2 linked regions of the Arabidopsis thaliana genome follow. The protein of the gene in region 1 purifies or fractionates together with the protein of each later gene. This does not show direct contact. Each region holds a gene or a part of one and is shown on either strand. Other genes may lie near its edges.

Region 1 (9,096 bases):
TTGTCGAATTTTCGAAACACTTCTCCTCCGTTAGTAAAATCATTTTTTTTTGGGGGTAAACTAGCCGTTAGTAACAATTTTTTTTTTTTTTTAAATCATATTTGACGGAAAAACGTTTTACATTTTATTTTAATCCGAGTTATTGCATCACGAGAACGTCGAGAAGACAATATTAACTTGTTATATACATCTCGTGTTACCTGCCTATTTTGTTCATTGTCCATTCTCTTTTCTCGAATATGCGACATCTATTTTTATGCTTCTCCTCCTCCTCTCATATTTTATTAGAGTAGATATTTGCATGTGTCACCGCAATTTTCGCGTTAATCTATCCAATTTATAAAATAAAATTAAAAAAACTAATTTAGTAGAATATGATCTTGAAGAATGATTTAAATTCATACACTTGTCGAATATCGAACGTAATGTTACAACCTCAATTACTTTTATCATTCGATGAAATAATATACTTTAGTGTGTAGAAGATTGAAGAAGCAAGAGGATTATTTAAGAAAAAAAAACAAATGAGATGAAGTTTGGGTGGTAAAAAATAATGGAAAGTAACTAGAGATTATTGAGGAAAGTCTTTGAAAATAGGAGTAGTTTATACATAGATATCAAAGCATATACTAAAATATTATATGAATGGGATCCATGAAGATGATGAATTCAAGCTCGTGCGTCAAATCTCTATTGAGTATTGACCATTATTTCCTCCTGCCTCCTTTTGTCGTTTTGAAGCTCATCAACAATGGAAGCTTCAACTTTTATTCTTCTTCTTGTCCTTGTGCTGTTGCTTGTCTCTGCGGGAAAACATGTGATATATTCTTGCCGCAACTCTACACCGAAAACATACCCGGTTATCGGATGCTTAATTTCATTCTATACCAACCGAAACCGGTTACTGGATTGGTATACAGAGCTCCTAACCGAATCCCCGAGTCGGACGGTAGTCATTCGCCGCTTAGCTGCACGGAGAACCGTAGTGACGGCGAACCCCTCGAACGTGGAGTATATCCTCAAAACAAACTTCGACAACTATCCCAAAGGCAAACCTTTTACGGAGATCCTCGGAGATTTTCTCGGCAACGGGATCTTCAACGTTGACGGAAACCTCTGGTTAAAGCAGAGGAGACTTGCTACACACGACTTCACCCCAAAGTCGCTGAGAGAATACGTCACCGTTTTGAGAAACGAGGTGGAGAAGGAGCTCTTAGCGTTTCTAAACGCAGCTGCGGAAGATTCACAACCCTTCGATCTTCAGGAGCTTCTCCGTAGATTCACTTTCAATATTGTTTGCATTGTTTTCCTCGGGATCGATCGTTGCACTTTAAACCCTTCCTCCCCCGTTTCTGAGTTCGACAGAGCCTTTCAGACAGCTTCTGCGGTCAGCGCTGGACGCGGTTCCGCACCGCTGTCTTTTGTGTGGAAGTTTAAGAGACTGGTCGGTTTTGGATCTGAGAAAGAGCTCAGAAAAGCCGTCGGAGAAGTCCATAACTGCGTCGATGAGATCATTCGGGATAAGAAGAGGAAGCCTGCCAACCAAGACTTTCTCTCGCGGTTGATCGTCGCCGGAGAAAGCGACGAGACGGTGAGAGATATGGTAATAAGTATCATAATGGCGGGGAGGGACACCACGTCGGCGGTAGCCACACGGCTGTTTTGGTTGATCACCGGTCACGAGGAAACCGAGCACGATCTGGTTAGTGAAATCCGATCGGTCAAGGAGGAGATAACGGGGGGTTTTGATTACGAATCATTGAAGAAACTGAGTTTGTTGAAAGCGTGTTTGTGTGAAGTGATGCGATTGTATCCTCCGGTGCCGTGGGACTCCAAACACGCCTTAACCGATGACCGGTTACCAGACGGTACGTTGGTGCGTGCCGGAGACCGGGTAACGTATTTTCCATATGGTATGGGGAGAATGGAAGAGCTATGGGGGGAAGATTGGGATGAGTTTAAACCAAACCGGTGGGCTGAGTCTTATGATAAAACCTGCTGCAGAGTTTTGAAAAAGGTGAATCCGTTCAAGTTTCCGGTTTTCCAAGCCGGCCCAAGGGTTTGTCTTGGGGAAGAGATGGCGTACGTGCAGATGAAGTATATTGTGGCTTCCATACTTGACCGGTTTGAGATTGAACCGATCCCTACGGATAAACCGGATTTTGTGCCAATGCTCACGGCTCACATGGCTGGTGGGATGCAAGTCCGCGTTCATCGGAGAGATCCTTCTCTTTCCCCTTGAATATACAAACAAAGTCAATTATCATGGCTTTTTATTTTATGTAAAACGTCTCTATGATCATTCATACCCAAAATTATTTTCTCCTTTGGGTAAACAACTCAACTTTTTTTTTTTTTTTTTCAATCCAAGTCATAAAGTCTCTACTAAATTTTTGAGTTTTGAAGAAAATTCAACCAATATTAGCTCAGTTATTATATTTTTGTTTGAAAATGACCCATTTTGCATTTGTTATCATCTTGGGATGATGACTATATTAAAAGTTCAACGTGAGAGCACAATGCCTTGGTCTTTTTCTATCCATAATAATACGTACGTTATTATTATTCTACAAGACTAGATCGAGCCAATTGGAAGTCAGTACGTGGAATCTACAAAAGAAAGTGAAAAAGTCAAGTATTTATCTTTCTTATATTTTGTCGCATATGATGCACGAGCTACAAACCAAAGTAAAAACTCTTGAAACTTGAGTAACAATGTTTCACTTAGAAAAAAAACCTATAAGGAACGACACTGATCAAGTGTCCTGGACCTAAGTGACTTCTAGGTAAAAGTAGTGAACTCATGAACTTCTTGGCCCATCTGCATCTTACCCGCCTGCTGGCTTCCGGTTCAAGTAACGTATTGCAGCATCCTCCACCCTGCAAGAGAATTCTCAGTGATTGTAAGACAAGTGATGAAAAGCAGAACAGTAGAGATTATTACCATGGCTGATTGAAGAACTCTGATCGGCCTTCTTTCTCAGCGTTTCGACTTGCTTCTCCTGCAACAAGCTTCAGATCTTTGGTCTGAGATTCCATCAAGGCATTGGTGAATTCCACCGGTGACTGGCTAAACCCTAAGAAAAACGCCCGTCTCCTTCTGTGCTCGTGGATTTTCCTTATGGCTCCGCATATGGCTTCATCACATGCCTCAATCTCTTTGTTCTTCTCTGGATTAGCGAGCAGATTGGAAAGCTCCGTTTGGACCGGTGCTGGTATGTCCACAAGCACATCGTAACATGCTGAGATGGCTGGATTGTTCCCCGAAAGCTTGATCTTGTGTACAAGCTGAATGGGAGGCGGAGGTGATAGGTGCTGAGATATCTTATGAGAGAGCATAGTGAATTTCATCTTCTCTTCCCCAAAAACACTGTGGAGAGCAGCATCACAGTTGAAGAAAGAAGGGTCGTTTGGGTTTTGCAGTTTCCTGACTTTCACGTAATGCCAGATTGCCGCAATGATTCTTGGGCGAGTGTCAACCTCAATGCCCAAAACTTGCATCAAAGCAGGAGAAGTCTTGAACTTCTCAGGGACGTAATTCATCTCCAACAGTATAGTAGCTGCAAACTCCTGACACCCTATCCTCTTTATCTCAAACCCTTCCAGAGGAGCAGGCGATCGATCCCTTTTCCATTCGATCAGATGGTTCTCAGGATACAGGCTCTGGTCCAGGGATATCTTTAACGTTTTGAAGAAAGACGAGAACTTGGGATAAAGTGGGTTTGAATTCTGAACTAATCCACCAGTGTGGTCAGGATCCAGGACCCTGCCGAAAATCCTAAGAGTCCATGTGGGAGGGTCAGGACCAGGGATCTGGTTGGAAAAGGTGTTGAAAACGTAGATCCTAAGGGTCTTCTGAATGGAAGGAGGGTTCTTAAGGGAGTCTTGGATGTCAACTTTCTTTCTGAAGAGAGCGGCATCAACCCGAGACTCAAACTCAAGAAGCTGTGTGTAGAGAGCAGACTCGGGCAAGACGGCAGCAACGCGCTCCTGCAAGGAGGACTTGTCTGGAAGCTTATGTTTCTTTTTCCTGGAAGCTGGAGTCAACTCCATACTAGGAGGAACAGCAGGAGGTCCTCCAATGGGAGGTTTATGTGGGAACCTTCTTCCAGGAGCACTAATCCCTTGGTCTTGAGAGAGCTGAAACTGAGGTTGAAAGTTAGGAGGGGCCATGTGGGAGGGAGCAAACGATGCAGAGGCCATTCCAAATGGCCAAGGCAGAGAGCTTTGAGGCCCTTTTAGTGCGTTCAACTCGTTATTCCCAGACATTGCTGATCACAAAAAATTGAATACAATCCCAAATTGGTGTCGACAGTAGTTACTCAGTAATTTTGGCTAGAAGAACCTCATCAAAATCACAACACACACACTCTATCGAATTTTGCCCTTTCTAAGCCGAACGTAACCCTAATTTAGTGCTGCGCGAGGATAGAGCCCTAATCAATTTCCCCCCAAATCTAAATAGTAAGATATAGGACACAACTTCTTCTTCTTCAATACAGCAGAAAGCGTATAATCTCAACTCCAGGAGAAAGAAAACAAATTCAATTCCCTCTGGAAGAAGAAGATGAAGATGATTCTTCTTCGAAAAAAAAAAAAAAAAAAAGACACGGCGGACCTATCAATGCCCACCTGAATTCTTCAACCGGGTCAAAACCCAACCATTAGTTAAAGGCCCAACGGCCATGGTTCGTGGGTCCATATTTAGATGGATCAATATTGCTTCTCGGCAATAAATCTAATTCCATGACTATAGGTAAAAAATCAAATTAAATCTAATCCAAATTATTTTTAAAAAAACTCTTAATAATCTACACCAATTTATTTCCAGATAAATACTATTTTTTAACTCTAAAACTAAGATCATGACAACCTTTTTTTTTCCCAAATAACTCTAAAATTTTTAATTAGCACATCTACATCTTAATTCTTAACAGATTCTATAGTATTATTGTTACTAATTAGAAATTACAATGATTATTTTCGACAAATGTAAACCTTATTGATATATAACATAATGCAATAATTCACAATAAAACACTAAGAATATTGTTCATCACCGGTCCAAGTCACCTTAACTTTGGGACCAGTTGGACCATCTTGACCCCGCATTTCTAAAGGAATTTTGTTGATGAGTTTTCGCAAACCTTTCCGTAAAAAGATGGGCAAAATCTTTGCGACAGAGTTGAGAAATATGTCAATCCTGTAATGGACTCGAGGTCCCCATTTCCTAAAATAATTCAGCCACGGTGGCTCAACCACGCCAGGTCCCGCAATCACTTCATATCCAATACCTGCGTCAAAGCATTTGTCGCTTCTTGCCATGTCGTTCCTTATTCCACTTTTGCCGCCACCTTGCAACACGACTCCAGGTTTGGAGAACATTGCATGCCCATGAAGAGACGAATATACTACTGGTTTGTTTCCACCTTGCATGAACTCTAGATCGCATGCATCCACTAAAGTTCCTCCACTGTGTTCAGAAAAGTAAACACGCCATAACTCACCATTGAAGTTGCTGATGCGTAATGTAACGTGTTCCCAGTCTCCAACATGCTCGCCAATATTTCCTAGCGACAGGCTCTTGATAAACAAAAATTTTAAATGTGCATTTCCGTTATAGGGAAAGAATAGCCATACTACAATATCTGTGAAAGTAGCTCCAAACATTGGTTTGATGTGTAGATACACCTTAGTGCTCTCTAAATCTCCCCTCTTAACCTTTTCTCTAGCCTTTTTATCGACTAGATAATCTAACCAAAACAAGTCATCATTGCAACCTCCTTGTGGAAGGTTTGAACCATTTGGATGTATCGGGACCGGGATGGATTCGTTTCCTTTCTTGTGTAGCAAGGCACCGTTAGCGAAAACCCAATTGACAGAGGAAGGAAGGAAATCTTCTTTTGGGTGTAAATATATCCAAGGAGAATACGTTTTAAACAAAACTCTAGTTTGATTTTCGCTTGGCATGCTTGACAAGTCAAATTTTGTATTTTTTAAGCAGAATAAAGGAGGGGGATGAGGAAGAAAGTTTAGTTGTTTGCAGCTGAATGTCCCTGTGAACACACCTGTCGCCTCTACTCCTCTCGTGGCCGGTCTCAAACTAGAAATAGTCATATCTTTTATCCTCCATACCCATGTATCGGCTTCACTCTGTTCTGTGAGATCAGATCGAACACAGCTTATAGAATTTTGTCCCAAAGAGGGCTTCATAGGAGAAGTAGTGACATATAGACCAACCGCATGATATCCATTAGGACATAGGGGCTGCCAAAAATATGCAGGCCCCTCTTGTTTGATAAGCAATGTTGTAGTGTTTCCAACTTCAGTGTAGTCGACTGGTGGTCTTAAATTACTTCCCGATACGTCTTTTGCAACAAGAATCCAACCAAAAAGCTGTCGGTTGTTAGGTTGTGCATAGAAGCCAAGTTTGAAGAAATTACGAGGAATAGTAGTTGGTTCAAAGATGCTGACTCCCATGTTATCCGGCCCTCCTTCATAAGTTCTCCACACTCTGTGTGATGTTGAGTTTGAGATAGAGATTTGAGTAACCTCAAGACCTCCCATATCAATGCTTCTTTTGCCAAAATTTCCACCATCGGAAGGCATACTAGGCAAAGGACTAGGAAATTTAAAGCTTGTTTCCACCGGTAAACCATTAGACGAAAGATAAGGATATTTGAATGGATACCCTAAAGAATTTACGTAGGAAATGTTGGTCAAAGGGTTAGTTCCAGTTTCTGCCCATGACAATTGCTTAACAAATAGAAAAACAAAAAACAATAGAAATTTTAAGTAGGTTTCATACAAGAGTTGCATTTTCTTTGGTCAGTTAATCATTTTAAGATTAGGTGAGCAACCTTCATTCCCTACATATATATTACATATATATAATTATAATTCTGTCAGAAAAGGAACACATGAAACAGTTGATGACTACAAAAAACAATTATGCAAAAAATCAACAAATGATCAGAGCACAAAATATTGTATATTTTGCAATATGAAAATAATTCCATAATTAACCTATACATATACATTGAATATAAATATTTATACCAAATTTCCAAATTGATTTCATAAGCTTAAAAACAAAATCTGAATGTATTATATTTTTTGTGATAGTCAAAGAAACATGATACCATAGATGGCTACGAGGAGGTTCTGAATTTGATTTTTAGAGGAGATTAATTTGTCTTGTTTTTTTTTTGTAGGAAAAGGGGATACTAATGTCTCCCACAAATTCTGAATTTGATTTTTAGAGGAGATTAATTTGTTTCTTAAATAAGTAATCACATCAGATTTTTAATCATTTTCACTTATTAATTTTCAACCACATCATATATATATTATGGAATTAATAAGACAAGATATCCATATAATATTAATTATTATTTTTGGGTTCGAGTCCTTTTTAAAAAACACTTATGCCAATCTTTAATTCTTGAAAAAATGAGATGTAATAACTTTTTTTTTTTGGGCAAAAACTGAGATGTAATATGTAATAACTAAATAAAGAAAAGTGTACCCAATTGTAATAAATTGTTAACCTTAATCAGACATGAATGAAAAATTAGTCATCACCGGTCCAAGACCTTTTGACTTTGGGTCCAGTGGGACCATCTTCTTCAAGCACTTCACGAGGGATTTTGTTAATCAGATTTCTGAATTTTTTCCGCAAAAGTCCCGGCAATGACTTTGCGATACCTTCAAGGTTCTTTTGAATGTCATGTGGGACAAGTGGTCCCCATTTCCTGAAATAGTTGAGCCACGGTGGCTCCTGAATCCCCGGTCCTGCAACCAGCTCATAAGCAACACCTGCGTCAAAGAATTTGTTACTTCTTGCCATGTCGTTCCTTATGCCGTTTCCGTCATCGCCTTGCAACACAAGTCCTGGTTTTGAAAACATTGCGTGTCCGTGAAGAGACGAGTAGCTCACAAGTTTGTTTCCACCTTGAAACTCAAGATCGCATGCCTCCACTAGAGTTCCCCCACTGTGCTCAGAGAAGTATGCTCGCCATAACTCTCCGTTGAAGTTGCTGATGCGCAACGTAACATGTTCCCAGTCTCCAATATGTTCGCCGATATCCCCCAGCGACAGGCTCTTGAAGAATAAAAACTTGAGGCGGGCGTTACCGTTGAAAGGGTAGAATATCCACACGACAATGTCAGTGAAAGTGCCTCCAAACATTGGTTTGATGTGTAGATACACTTTCGTGTGTCCTAAGTCTCCCCTCTTAACCCATTCCTTTGCGTTCTTATCAGCCGGATAGTCTAACCAGAATAAACCATCATCCGAACCGCCCTGCGGAAGGTTTGAACCGTCCGGTTGCACAGGGACGGGGTTGGATTCGTTGCCTTTCTGGAATAACAGGGCACCATTGGAGAAAAACCAGTCGACAGAGGAAGAAATAAAATCTTCATCTGGATGCAAATATATCCAAGGAGAATACGATTGAAACAAAACGGTAGTTTGATTATGGCTTGGCATGCTAGACAAGTCAAATTTTGTGTTTTTCAAGCAAAACAGAGGAGGGGGAGGAGGGATGTTCAATGGCTGGCAGCTGAATGTCCCTGTGTGTACACCTGTTGCTTCTGTTCCTCTGTTGGCCGGTCTCAAACTAGACAGAGTCATTTCTTCTGTCCCCCAAACCCATGTATCGGTTTCACTCTGTTCCGTAAGATCGGATCGAACGCAGCTTATAGATTCTTGACTTAAAGATGGCTTTATAGGAGAAGTAGTGACATATAGACCAACCGCTTGATATCCATTGGGACATAGGGGCTGCCAAAAAAAAGCAGCCCCTTCTTGGTTGATATTCATTGATGTAGTGTTTATGACTTGAATGTAGTCAACGGGTGGCCTCAAGCTATTTCCAGACACGTCTCTTGCAGCAAGAACCCACCCAAAAAGCAGGCGGTTGTTGGGTTGCCCATAGAAGCCAAGAGTGGAGAAGCTGGGAGGAAGATTGATTGGTTGGAAGATAGAGAGCCCCATGTTGTCGGGACCTCCCTCGTATGTCCTCCATACTCTTTGTGATGTTGAGGTTGAGATGGAGACTTGGATCACCTCAAGACCTCCGAGATCTATCCTTC
Region 2 (11,112 bases), on another chromosome or scaffold:
AGTACCAGGGCACGCGCCACAACGTATGTCTCTCTCTTGCTTTCTCACTTTGCATTTTCCTTTTCAGCTCGGTAACGTGATCATGAATTGCAGGTTGGTTTTGAGATGGTGGACGCTTTGGCTGATGCAGAAGGCATCTCCATGAACACTGTTAACTTCAAGGCCTTGTTTGGGAAAGGTTCTCTTTTTCATTCTCTTATCTTCTCCATTGTGAATTTTCATTTTGAAATGGTTTTCTTATCTCAAAGTTTGAAACTTTCAAATTTCATACGTCTCAAATGTTTGATGAGGGTGATAGAAACAATGGCTAACTGTTTCCGGAGAATGAATATTGAAATAAATATCATTTTCTGTCTCTGGTTTGTTTCTAACTTTGGGTATTGTTTTCCTTTATCATAGGCGTTATTGGAAATATACCGATTATGCTGGCTAAACCACAAACTTTCATGAACCTAAGTGGTGAGTCTGTAAGTGAGCTCATCGGAAACAAACTTTGGTTTATTTAGTTAACCAATCTCTTTAACTTTTATCACTTGTTATTTTGATTCTTTCTGTTTATGATTGCTGGAATTCTTTGAAGGTTGGACAAATCGTTTCATTTTACAAGATCCCGTTAAAGCAAGTACTTGTGGTATACTTAACCTTCTCTCTCGCTTACTCTCCAAATTCTGGCTCTAGAGTGCATATGCCGTCTTAATTTTTTTTGTCTTTTTCAGGTTTACGATGATTTAGATTTGCCCTTTGGTAAACTACGTTTATTGCCAAAAGGTGGTCACGGAGGCCACAATGGGTACAATGCTTTTCACTCTCTATCTGGCCTGTTGATGTTTTCATTTGTGTTTTAACTTTTAAGTATTGTCTTACTTTTTACTTAAGAAGCAATGTGGATGGATAATAGTTTGCGGTTTCACTATCAAATCATAGAGAAACTCTACAAGAAAACATGATGGGTTGTTCTTTTACTTGCAGGATGAGAAGTATTATAGACCGCCTCAAAGGTAGCCGTGATTTTCCTCGACTAAGAATAGGTACAGTTCTCATTTTTCTCCACTCCGACATATCTTCCCATTTTCTTCTCTGGTTTTGCAAATTGTCGAATGTTTCATTTCAGGGATCGGACGTCCTCCAGGGAAGATGGATACAGCCAATTTTGTTCTCCGCCAGTTCAATAGACAGGAACAGGAAGAGGTAGAAGCAGATTTATCCCATAATTATCTCAAAAAATTTCAGAAAGACATAACCTGATTGTTTTTGGTTTTGCAGTTGGATCACACATTCCAAACCGGGTTAGAGGCAATAAGGATTCTTTTGCTTGAGGGGTTCAACAAAAGTGCAACATTTGTCAACACTCGAAAATCTATGGAGCAACTCAGTTAGAAGTGACATTGTTACATTACATATATTCATATAACAAACTACAAAGTGTTCTTGCTGATTCATTAATAATTTTTTTTTGGTTCCATACTTGAATCCTTTTTGAGCAAATTGTACATCAAAAGATAACCAGATTATTTGTTTATCATAATTTCTATTATGTAACTCGAAAATATGGATTTCAGTATTTGTTCGGCTGTAATTTAAATTATACACTTTCATTAAGCATAGACATTTTATTTGGCAATAAATCAGCTTCGTTTACTGCAAAAAGGGTGGTCACAAAAGTTGGTTCGGTTTAGAAAAATTGTGTTCGGTTCGGTTAGTTTCTTGAATAATTTAAACCCGACGGATTAAATGAGAGGTTTTGTGGTCCCCACAACTCGAACTCAGTAAAACCAAGTCGACCCGATTCAGCTGGATCCGAGATTACAGAGAACCCCGTCCCGTGTTTAAACCCTCCGGCGACAAAGCTCAGATAGAGAACCGCTCCACCCTTGTCGTTCGCTGCAGCCATGTACGGCGGAGGTGGGTTTCTCTTTAAACCCTTGAATTGCTTTGTCGTTTATCTTTTGAGACATTCCTGAGCTGTTTTTTTCCGTGGTGGGTTTTCACAGATGAAGTGTCAGCTATTGTGGTTGACTTGGGTTCGCACACTTGCAAGGCTGGTTACGCCGGTGAAGATGCTCCCAAGGCCGTTTTCCCTTCCGTAAGTCTTAATTACCAGCATTTTATGTCACTATAAGCTTAATGGTGTTATTGTAGATTTGCTCAAGTCCCTTGTATCTTCAGACTCTTAGTTTTTTTTTTGATGTGTTCATAAGGTTATTGGGGCAGTAGATGGTGTAGAGGCAATGGATGTGGATGTTGATTCTACAAAGACTAATTCGAACTCTGAGGATTCGAAGACCGAGTCTGAAAAGGAAAAGAGCAAACGCAAGCTCTATGTAGGATCTCAAGCCATGAGCTACCGCAGAGATCATATGGAGGTTAGTTTTTCTCCTTGATTAATGTTAAAGTTTATAACTTTGTTGGTGAAATTACAGATTGCATTTTCTCTCACCAGGTTTTGTCACCTATAAAAGATGGCATCGTTTCTGACTGGGATTTGGTGGACAATATATGGGAACATGCTTTCAAGTAAATGTGTAAAGCATTATATTTTCTCTTAATTGTTGTTTGCATTTCATCTCTAAAAAAACTTTGTCTTTTAAGGAGTTGTCTGATGATTGATCCTACGGAGCATCCAATGCTGCTAGCTGAGCCTCCTTTAAACACTCAACAGCAGAGAGAGAAGTATGATTTATCTGCTTTGAAATATCCTTTATTACCACTGTTGCTTTATCTTGGTGTGTTACTGATTTTCTCAAATCATATGCTTGACAGGGCGGCAGAGCTAATGTTTGAAAAGTACAAAGTTCCGGCACTGTTTATGGCTAAGAACCCTGTATATTCCCTCTCCCTTGGGTCATCATTCTTTTTGATAGATTATTATATGACGTTCACTGTAATGTTGATATCCAGTCAGCTCTTGTGTAATCAGATGTCTAACTATCTACATGAATTTGGTGTTTTTGGTGCTAGGTTCTCACGTCTTTTGCTACTGGGCGTGCTACTTCTTTGGTTGTTGACTGGTAAGACTTTAAGTATTAAAAGTTTCTCTAGTATGTAGAAGCTACTAATGTTCCACTTCTGCTCTATATGCTGTGAAAGTCTACCTTGTTCTGTATGGTGTATAATTTGAGAAGCACTGATGACACTTTATTGTATTTCTAGCGGTGGAGGATCCACAACCATTTCACCGGTGCATGATGGTTATGTTCTTCAGAAGGTACTTGTATTACACGATTTAGTAAGAATTCAGCTTTGTGATGCTGTTTCTTTGGGTTTGGATTTTGTACTGCAGGAGAAAGTTTCCCATCTCTCGTTTCCATAGTCATCTGTAGCTGCTATAAATTCTCATCCATGTGAATTATGACCTACAGCATTGATGTAGATTGTGATTCTCCGATTGTTGACCATACTTTTATTCGCAGGCTGTTGTATCGTCTCCACTTGGAGGGGAATTTCTCACTGACTGCCTACTGAAAAGCTTGGAGAGTAAAGGAATTAAAGTAGGTTAAAAAAATTCTTCACTGTTCTTTTCTTTTAAGCCAAATTATCTGAGTGATACTGGTTATTTTTTCTGCAGATAAGACCTAGATACTCTTTCAAGAGGAAGGAAGTACGAGCAGGGGAATTCCAGGTGCATATGTGGATCAGTGAATGAAACTACTAGCAGTGAATAGTCTCTAATTTCCTCCCTTTGAATCCTTGCAGGTTGAAGATGTGGATATTCCTGACACCACGGAAAGCTACAAACTCTTCTGCCAGGTCTGTAATTGATTATGAAACTTCGTTTGAAAATTTCAGTTGTGATAATTTGGTGATTTGTTTCAACAGAGGATGATAGTGGGTGATATCAAGGATTCCATTTGTCGAGTTCCTGATACTCCCTATGACGGTACCTTATGTTATTCTGTCTGTCTCTGGTTTCATAAATTTGTTTTATTTCAAAGTTTAAAGTTGCTTGAGAGTTGAACGTTAGATACTTTTTATCTTTCAATGTCATTTGATCGCATAGCCTTAGTTTTTCTGATGTGATGCATTTATCTGCAGATAAATCATATTCAAACATCCCTACTACGTCGTACGAGCTTCCTGATGGCCAGTAAGCTCAGTTTATATGTCTATTTCGGTTTATTTGTGCCTCAAATGTACATGCTACTGTTGCTTTTGTTTTCTACGTATAAGGTTTGAGCTTAGTTTCTAGCCAAATGTACCACTGCTCTGAACCTTGTTTAAGCTGAGATAAGTGCTTAGTTGGATCTGAGTCATTAAAGCCATTGGGCATAAAAGTTTAGAAGAGTCAGACATTGCTTTGGAAACCTGCATGGAACCTAATGTTCATAATGAGAATTAAGTTAAAAGAAAAAGTGCTAGCTTCATTGAAGACAGGAAGCTGCACCTGTAATTTTTGTAGTCTTTCTCAATATCTTATTAACCATGTCTGTTGAAGGACGCTCGAGATTGGTGCTGATAGGTTCAAAGTTCCTGATGTGATGTTCAACCCGTCCATAGTCCAGGTACACCATTTGAGCACGATAAATTCAACAGAAGATTCTGAAGACATTTTGTTTCTTATCTTGAGCGTTTTGAGCCTCGAATTATTTATCAAAGGTTTCTTCTCCGTTTTTATTGCAATTTGCAGACGATTCCTGGAATGGAGAAGTATGCTGAGATGATTCCTTCCGTTCGTGGGTTACCACACATGGTATATGCATGGTATTTAGTCATTGCAAAGCTTCCATCTCTTAACTTTTTCTAACTTTACTCTCCATTTTACTGACTTGTACAGGTCATGGAGAGCATCAACAAATGTGATGTAGACATCCGGAGAGAGTTGTATAGTAGCATACTGGTAAAATAGCAATCAATGCCAACTCTTAAATACCCCTACTTTTAGTTTCGTTGGATGTGGATGATTAACATTTCCTTTCTTCTCGCATTATGCCAGCTTGCTGGTGGCACATCGTCAATGCAACAGCTGAAAGAACGTCTCGAAAAGGACTTGATCGAAGTATTGTGTCCTAAACTCTTTTCCTCTGTCTTTAAAGCTATCCCAGTTTTTATGATGGCGAAAATCATTCATTGGTCCCTCTATCTTTGTTTCAGGAGTCTCCTCACTCAGCTAGAGTTAAAGTGTTGGCAAGCGGTAACACAACAGAAAGAAGATTCAGGTCTGGATTTAGTGTTCACTTCTTCCTCTATAATGAGACCCAAATTTTTTTGCTTGGATCAACCAACAAACATGTTATGTATGTGCAGTGTATGGATAGGAGGGAGTATATTGGCATCACTAGGCTCATTTCAACAGATGTGGTTCTCCAAGTCTGAGTAAGTCTCTGTTCTGATTTTCCATTAATCAGACTCGCAAAGAAACTATAGTTTGTTTTCTCTCCTGACACTCGGATTTGGGGTCTTGGTGTAAATGGCAGGTATGAGGAACATGGAGCTTCCTACATTCAGAGAAAATGCCCTTAAAGCAGGCAGTTTCAGATTATGTGGAGTCTGACAAGACGAAACTTGGAAACTAATGTGTTATTTTCATTGTGCATCGTTGTTCCTTGAAGATTATTAGTATTCCGCCTGAACCTTTTAGAATGAGTGTCATTAACAAGCATTATAGTGCTATTTTAAAAACATAAAAACATGTGGAAGAAGTTTCGTTGCTTTATTAGATTTTCGCACAATCAAGACCGTCCACGTTTTGTTACTACGAACCAAGATAATCCACAAAATTAACAAGAAAATAACAAATCCGAAACTACAAAAAGCAGCTTCATAAGTTTTCTTTTTCTTTTTTAAAAAAGAAGAAAAAATCAGCTTTATCGTGCCTCTCAAAAAGCTAATGACTTCGAAGTTCCAAAATTCCGGTCTTCGAACATATTTTATAGAATAGCAAAATGTTTTGAACCACAAGATTATTAATAATATAAATAATGTAATTGATATTGGTAAGTAATAATACTTTTATTAATCATAAAATGGTCTGAATAATAATAAAGACAAAATGGACGTAACTTCTCCGCCACTACAGACTTACGTGTCATGTCTCCATATCCGCATGCAAAATCCAATAGATGACACATTCTAAATCATCCAATTATATACGCCCACGTGTCAACCTCTGTCTCGTCTCTCTAAATAACGTTTACCGACCTTCTCTTGTGGACGGTAAGAATCGCCGGCGTCCCCTAATATATCGGATTTCAATCCAAAGACACACTCACAATTTAAAAAAAAACGTTTCTTTTCTCTTCGATTCCCGATTACGGCTTTTGATTTTGTGGGACTCTTCTCAGTTTTTCTGGGCTTTTGGTTTTTGGATTCTATCTTCTTTCATTTTTCAGATTTTTTATTTTATTTTGTTGTATTTCTATATTGGGAAACAAAATCATGCAGAGGATCGTCGATAATGCTCTTGCTATCACAAAAGAGTGAGTCCCTCTCTCTTTTCGATTTCACCATTAGTCTGTGCACGCTTATTGATTTTGTGATTTCTGATTTGTTTTTTTAGTTGCATGTTTAGTGGTTTTAGTAATTTGATATGTGATTTCAACTGTTTTGTTTCCTTAATTTGGATTTTAATTCGATTAGATTTTCTCAAATAGTAATTCGATTTGCTTTAGATATGGAAGTTGCCAAATTTTGAGCCAGTGGTTTTATAGTGGAGCTAGGAGCTAAGTCTATATCTTATATCTTCTGATTTACATTAATCTTGAGATTTAGTGGTATATAGTTTTACTAATTTGGGGATACATTTCTGATTTACCATTTTTAGTTAGTTGTTGAAGGTTTGTTGTCTCTTTGAAGAAAGTATACATATTGACTCTTTGTCCTGTAATAATTACAGCGATTCTCGTTGTATCTGCGGATAGTTTTCTTTGTTTAATGCTTGTCTGTTTGGGTTTTTGGTGTTCGTTGTGGGTTTTTGATTGGTATTAGGATTGTTTGTGTTAGTCTAAAATAGTTTTAAGCTAACTAATGATTTTGGTTTTTAGTGCAGGTCAGTGAAAACTCTGACTTATGAGTCTTTGAACAACATTGCAAGATGCATTAATGGATTTTCTGCGCTTCTCTTGACACTTTTGCCCGGAAAGTCCAATGTTCTTGAAGGTCTTCATGGATGGGAGCTTAGGCCTACATTGCGTGGACCTCGTTTACCACGCTGGATGCATAAGTAAAACTCTCTTCAACTCTCTAATACTTCTTTGTGGTTACCTTATAGCAGCTTATTCGACTCTCTTTTGATTTCTGTGGTTTTGCAGTGGAGTCTCTTCTTTCAACCACTTCATTCACGAACTCTCTGTGGATTCTGATACTTCTAGCTTGGACTATTCCTCTGGTGATGATGATAGTGATGGCATGTCCACGCCTCCATCACCCTTGTCTCAAAGCTCACTCCGCTCTTGGGCTAGTCTTCCTGCCAATTACGAAAGCCATTGGACAGACTGGATAACCTTCATTGTCTGGTGGGCTTTACTACCTGCCCGGATCCTTCTATGGGTACCATTATATCTTTTACGTCTTTTAGCTAGAAGAAATTCAAGAATGCAGCCTCTGAGCCCAGGAAGGTACCAACATTCGTCTAGACCTTGTTTTAGCAAAGCTATCTCAGGGAAAGAGCATGACGTGCCCAACCGAACTACTGATAAAAGACGCGGAGTCATTGAGGTTAGTGTTGATGGGCATACTTAAATCACATTTCTTGTTTTTGAGTTTTCTTACGCAATTATGTGTTCTACTTTGGCAGGATCTTCAGCTTGGTATCGAGATCTTTATAGAAACAATATTTGATTTCTTTCACAAGGCGGCACATCTTCTTCTTTCTCCATCAGAAACTTTTGGAATAGTTTTATCATGGTTCTCTTCCTCCAGTCACAGCTCTAAAGGAAACTATGGTGACGTTTCGGATGATGAGATCATTCAGACTGCCATTCTAGGAGATAACGATTCATCTCTTACAGAAAGAAGAACCACAACGAGCTTATACAATACAGATACCCGGACCTGTCAAGATGTTATAACAGAGCTTGGGTAAGGGGGGAATGTGTAGAAGATATTTCGTGCATAGTTGTTTTTTACTTCTGCTGTTACTCAACTATTTGCCCTTTCGATTTAACTTCTCTTATAATCTTGATAGGTATCCATATGAAGCTATTCGTGTTGTTACATCTGATGGATATGGTCTTCTCTTGGAAAGGATACCAAGGTATAGAATCTATTATGGTTGAGTAAGTTTCTCTATAGTCTGTTATGTTTCTGTAAGTTCCTTTAAAATGTAATCATCATGTCTTTCCAGACGAGATGCGAGGAAAGCTGTTTATTTGCAGCATGGTGTAATGGATTCTTCAATGGGGTGAGTTTCATTGTCTTTTTCGTTGATGACTTGTCAGGAAATGTTTTGCCTTGGTTTCTCATCTGGACCTTTATCTTCAGATGGGTATCAAATGGTGTTGTTGGATCACCAGCTTTTGCAGCTTATGATCAAGGTCCGTGCCAAAATATTCCTAGTTTCCCAAGTTACTGTATGATAAATATGAAGTTAAGATTTACCGATGTTTTACTCTGCTTTTCTTGCCAGGCTACGATGTTTTCCTAGGGAACTTTCGTGGTTTAGTTTCAAGAGATCATGTGAAAAAAAACATATCCTCAAAAGAGTGAGTAGTATAGAATAAACGGCTTCTTTATGGATTTGATATTTGTATAGTTCTTATTGATGAATCCTCAAAACATGCAGTTTCTGGCGTTACTCCATCAATGAACATGCAACGGAAGATATCCCAGCAATGATAGAGAAGATTCACGAAATCAAAACTTCAGAACTGAAACTTTATCAGCCTACTATGGAAGAGGTAGTAAACGAGGATCAACCGTATAAGCTTTGTGTTGTATCTCACAGTTTAGGCGGTGCCGCGGTTCTGATGTATGTAATCACCCGTAAAATCGAAGAGAAACCGCACAGACTCTCGAGACTGATCCTTCTTTCGCCTGCTGGGTTTCACTATGACTCCAACATGTGTTTCACGTTGATGGAGTACACGTTCCTTTTCTTGGGTCCTGTACTATCTCGGATTGTTCCTGCTTTCTACATCCCCACTAAATTCTTCCGGATGCTTCTCAACAAGTTAGCTCGAGATTTCCATAACTATCCTGCTGTTGGTGGATTAGTCCAAACATTGATGAGTTATGTAGTTGGCGGAGATAGCTCAAACTGGGTTGGAGTCATGGGATTGCCTCACTATAACATGAACGATATGCCAGGTATATCCTTCCGTGTGGCTCAGCATCTTGCACAGATTAAACATAGCGGTAAGTTCAAGATGTTTGATTACGGTAGCAGTTCAGCTAATATGGATGTTTACGGGTCCCCTGAGCCGCTCGATCTTGGGGAGTTTTATGGGTTGATCGATGTGCCTGTGGATTTAGTAGCTGGAAAGAAAGACAAAGTGATTAGACCTTCAATGGTTAGGAAACATTACAGGGTGATGAGAGATTCAGGAGTAGATGTTTCTTACAATGAGTTTGAGTATGCTCATTTGGATTTTACCTTCTCTCACCGTGAAGAGCTTTTGGCGTATGTGATGTCGCGGTTACTTCTCGTGGAGCCAACGCAGACTCAGACGGTTCATAAGAAGGGGATGAAGCTGAAGAAGAAAATGGAAACAGGCAAACCTCATCTGTGAACTACTAGAAGAGGCTTTTATAGAGTTTATGTTTGTCGTCTTTGTAATGTTTTTTGTTCACGAAAGTCGGCTTTAAACAATTTATGTATATATGAATATGGTTTTTGGTATCTCTATTTATGTCAGTGTCACTTTCCATAACAATTTAAGTCGTGGACATTAAAGCATAACTTAGTTTGTGATTTATACAAAAAAGAGATGGATATTATACAAACTTTGTATGTTACAGCTAAAGTTTGAATGAGGTTTCCTACAGAAAAATACATACACGTATACACCTATACTTTTTTTTATACTAGCTGCTGATTCAGACAAACAAAAAGATTCAGCAAAAACATCAGAAGTTTGGGAAACAGTATGGTTGGTAAACTGGAATGTTTGTCTGGAGCATCAACCACAAATCCTACTCTTGATCATGGGCCAAAGTTAACACAGTCATACGTCGTATACAGATAGTCGTTTTTCAATGTCTATACGACATATTGGACATGTTGTACACTTGTCTGCACAGGTTCTGCAACAAAAATGGCACAGAAACAAAAAATTGTGAACAATGACATTAAGTCAGGTATGACACTGAGTCCAATGAGTATATTGATATGACCTCAGTCCTCATAGATTCCTAGTTTCTTTGTACAGTATTTCTAGACGAATTGAGCGCAAATGCATAAAATTTTAAGTGTAACATGATCAAGTATCTTTACCTGCAGAGAACACGGTGTCTACATGGAAGCAGTACCAAACTGATATCTTTTTCAAAGCAAACCCTACACAGCACTTTCTCCTGGAGTAGAAGACACATTGACACAGGATTAAGCAAAGGGAAAAAGTAAAATCGAAACAAGAAAGTTACAAAAACATCATGGCTAATAAATGAATATACATTTTGCAGTCTTTCATATTCCTGCTGGCTGAATTTTGTGATTTCTGTTTGTTCACCAAGTGCTGCTTGAAGTCTCCACACCTAGAGATATCAAATTAGATTGAATGCAAACAACACTTAAGCAATGCTGAAACTAGAAGAAACAAGATTCAACAACAAAGAGAACCTAAAGTTAATATCAGCACTGAATTGGGAAACAAAAAAATGCCAGAGAGGTAAAGTTACCTCTTCTGCAAGATCTTCCTTTGGCATTTTCTTGACTATCTCAGGCGGATGACCACTGAATGTATTGTAACTGCACAATTATATTATAATGAAATCTTCAGCAGATCCCATAACATCTTTGTTTGACCATATAGAAGGTTGGAATATACTAACTAACCCAGATTCTTGATCAAAGTACAGTCGAGCTTGTTCCTCCCGGCTTCCTTCGTCAATTGACCACCAACCTAATAGCCTGAACAAGTGAATTGATTGATTGATTTTTTGTTAGTACTACATTTTGTAAATTAAAACTTTTGGGAAAATAGACAGACGTGTTTGTCACCTGGAACCATGGTGCAAGAA

Evidence for each region.
Region 2: the proteins of AT3G01890 (region 1) and ARP4 purify together in Arabidopsis thaliana (affinity purification with mass spectrometry; 2 studies listed by BioGRID, with this or other methods). This does not show direct contact.

What each region holds. Positions count from the first base shown.
Region 1 is NC_003074.8:305,505-314,600, reverse strand, and holds AT3G01890 (SWIB/MDM2 domain superfamily protein), read right to left. Parts: upstream 4,595-9,096; 5' UTR 4,270-4,594; coding exon 2,945-4,269; intron 2,881-2,944; coding exon 2,829-2,880; 3' UTR 2,528-2,828; downstream 1-2,527. Other genes in the region: CYP94B2 (cytochrome P450, family 94, subfamily B, polypeptide 2), read left to right, coding at 752-2,242; AT3G01880 (vacuolar sorting-associated protein (DUF946)), read right to left, coding at 5,041-6,819; AT3G01870 (hypothetical protein (DUF946)), read right to left, coding at 7,574-9,096.
Region 2 is NC_003070.9:6,346,310-6,357,421, forward strand, and holds ARP4 (actin-related protein 4), read left to right. Parts: upstream 1-1,738; 5' UTR 1,739-1,889; coding exon 1,890-1,902; intron 1,903-1,991; coding exon 1,992-2,083; intron 2,084-2,198; coding exon 2,199-2,363; intron 2,364-2,440; coding exon 2,441-2,514; intron 2,515-2,589; coding exon 2,590-2,670; intron 2,671-2,760; coding exon 2,761-2,821; intron 2,822-2,958; coding exon 2,959-3,008; intron 3,009-3,150; coding exon 3,151-3,205; intron 3,206-3,410; coding exon 3,411-3,488; intron 3,489-3,565; coding exon 3,566-3,619; intron 3,620-3,693; coding exon 3,694-3,747; intron 3,748-3,816; coding exon 3,817-3,877; intron 3,878-4,032; coding exon 4,033-4,084; intron 4,085-4,432; coding exon 4,433-4,499; intron 4,500-4,624; coding exon 4,625-4,687; intron 4,688-4,771; coding exon 4,772-4,834; intron 4,835-4,930; coding exon 4,931-4,993; intron 4,994-5,088; coding exon 5,089-5,153; intron 5,154-5,241; coding exon 5,242-5,310; intron 5,311-5,411; and 3 more. Other genes in the region: AT1G18440 (Peptidyl-tRNA hydrolase family protein), read left to right, coding at 1-23, 94-178, 400-467, 581-631, 717-790, 970-1,028, 1,112-1,188, 1,264-1,377; AT1G18460 (alpha/beta-Hydrolases superfamily protein), read left to right, coding at 6,373-6,413, 6,983-7,156, 7,245-7,650, 7,730-8,013, 8,120-8,188, 8,279-8,335, 8,416-8,468, 8,561-8,636 and 1 more; AT1G18470 (Transmembrane Fragile-X-F-associated protein), read right to left, coding at 10,098-10,176, 10,367-10,446, 10,546-10,626, 10,771-10,840, 10,928-11,002, 11,093-11,112. UniProt on the Arabidopsis thaliana protein: Involved in several developmental processes including organization of plant organs, flowering time, anther development, flower senescence and fertility, probably by regulating the chromatin structure.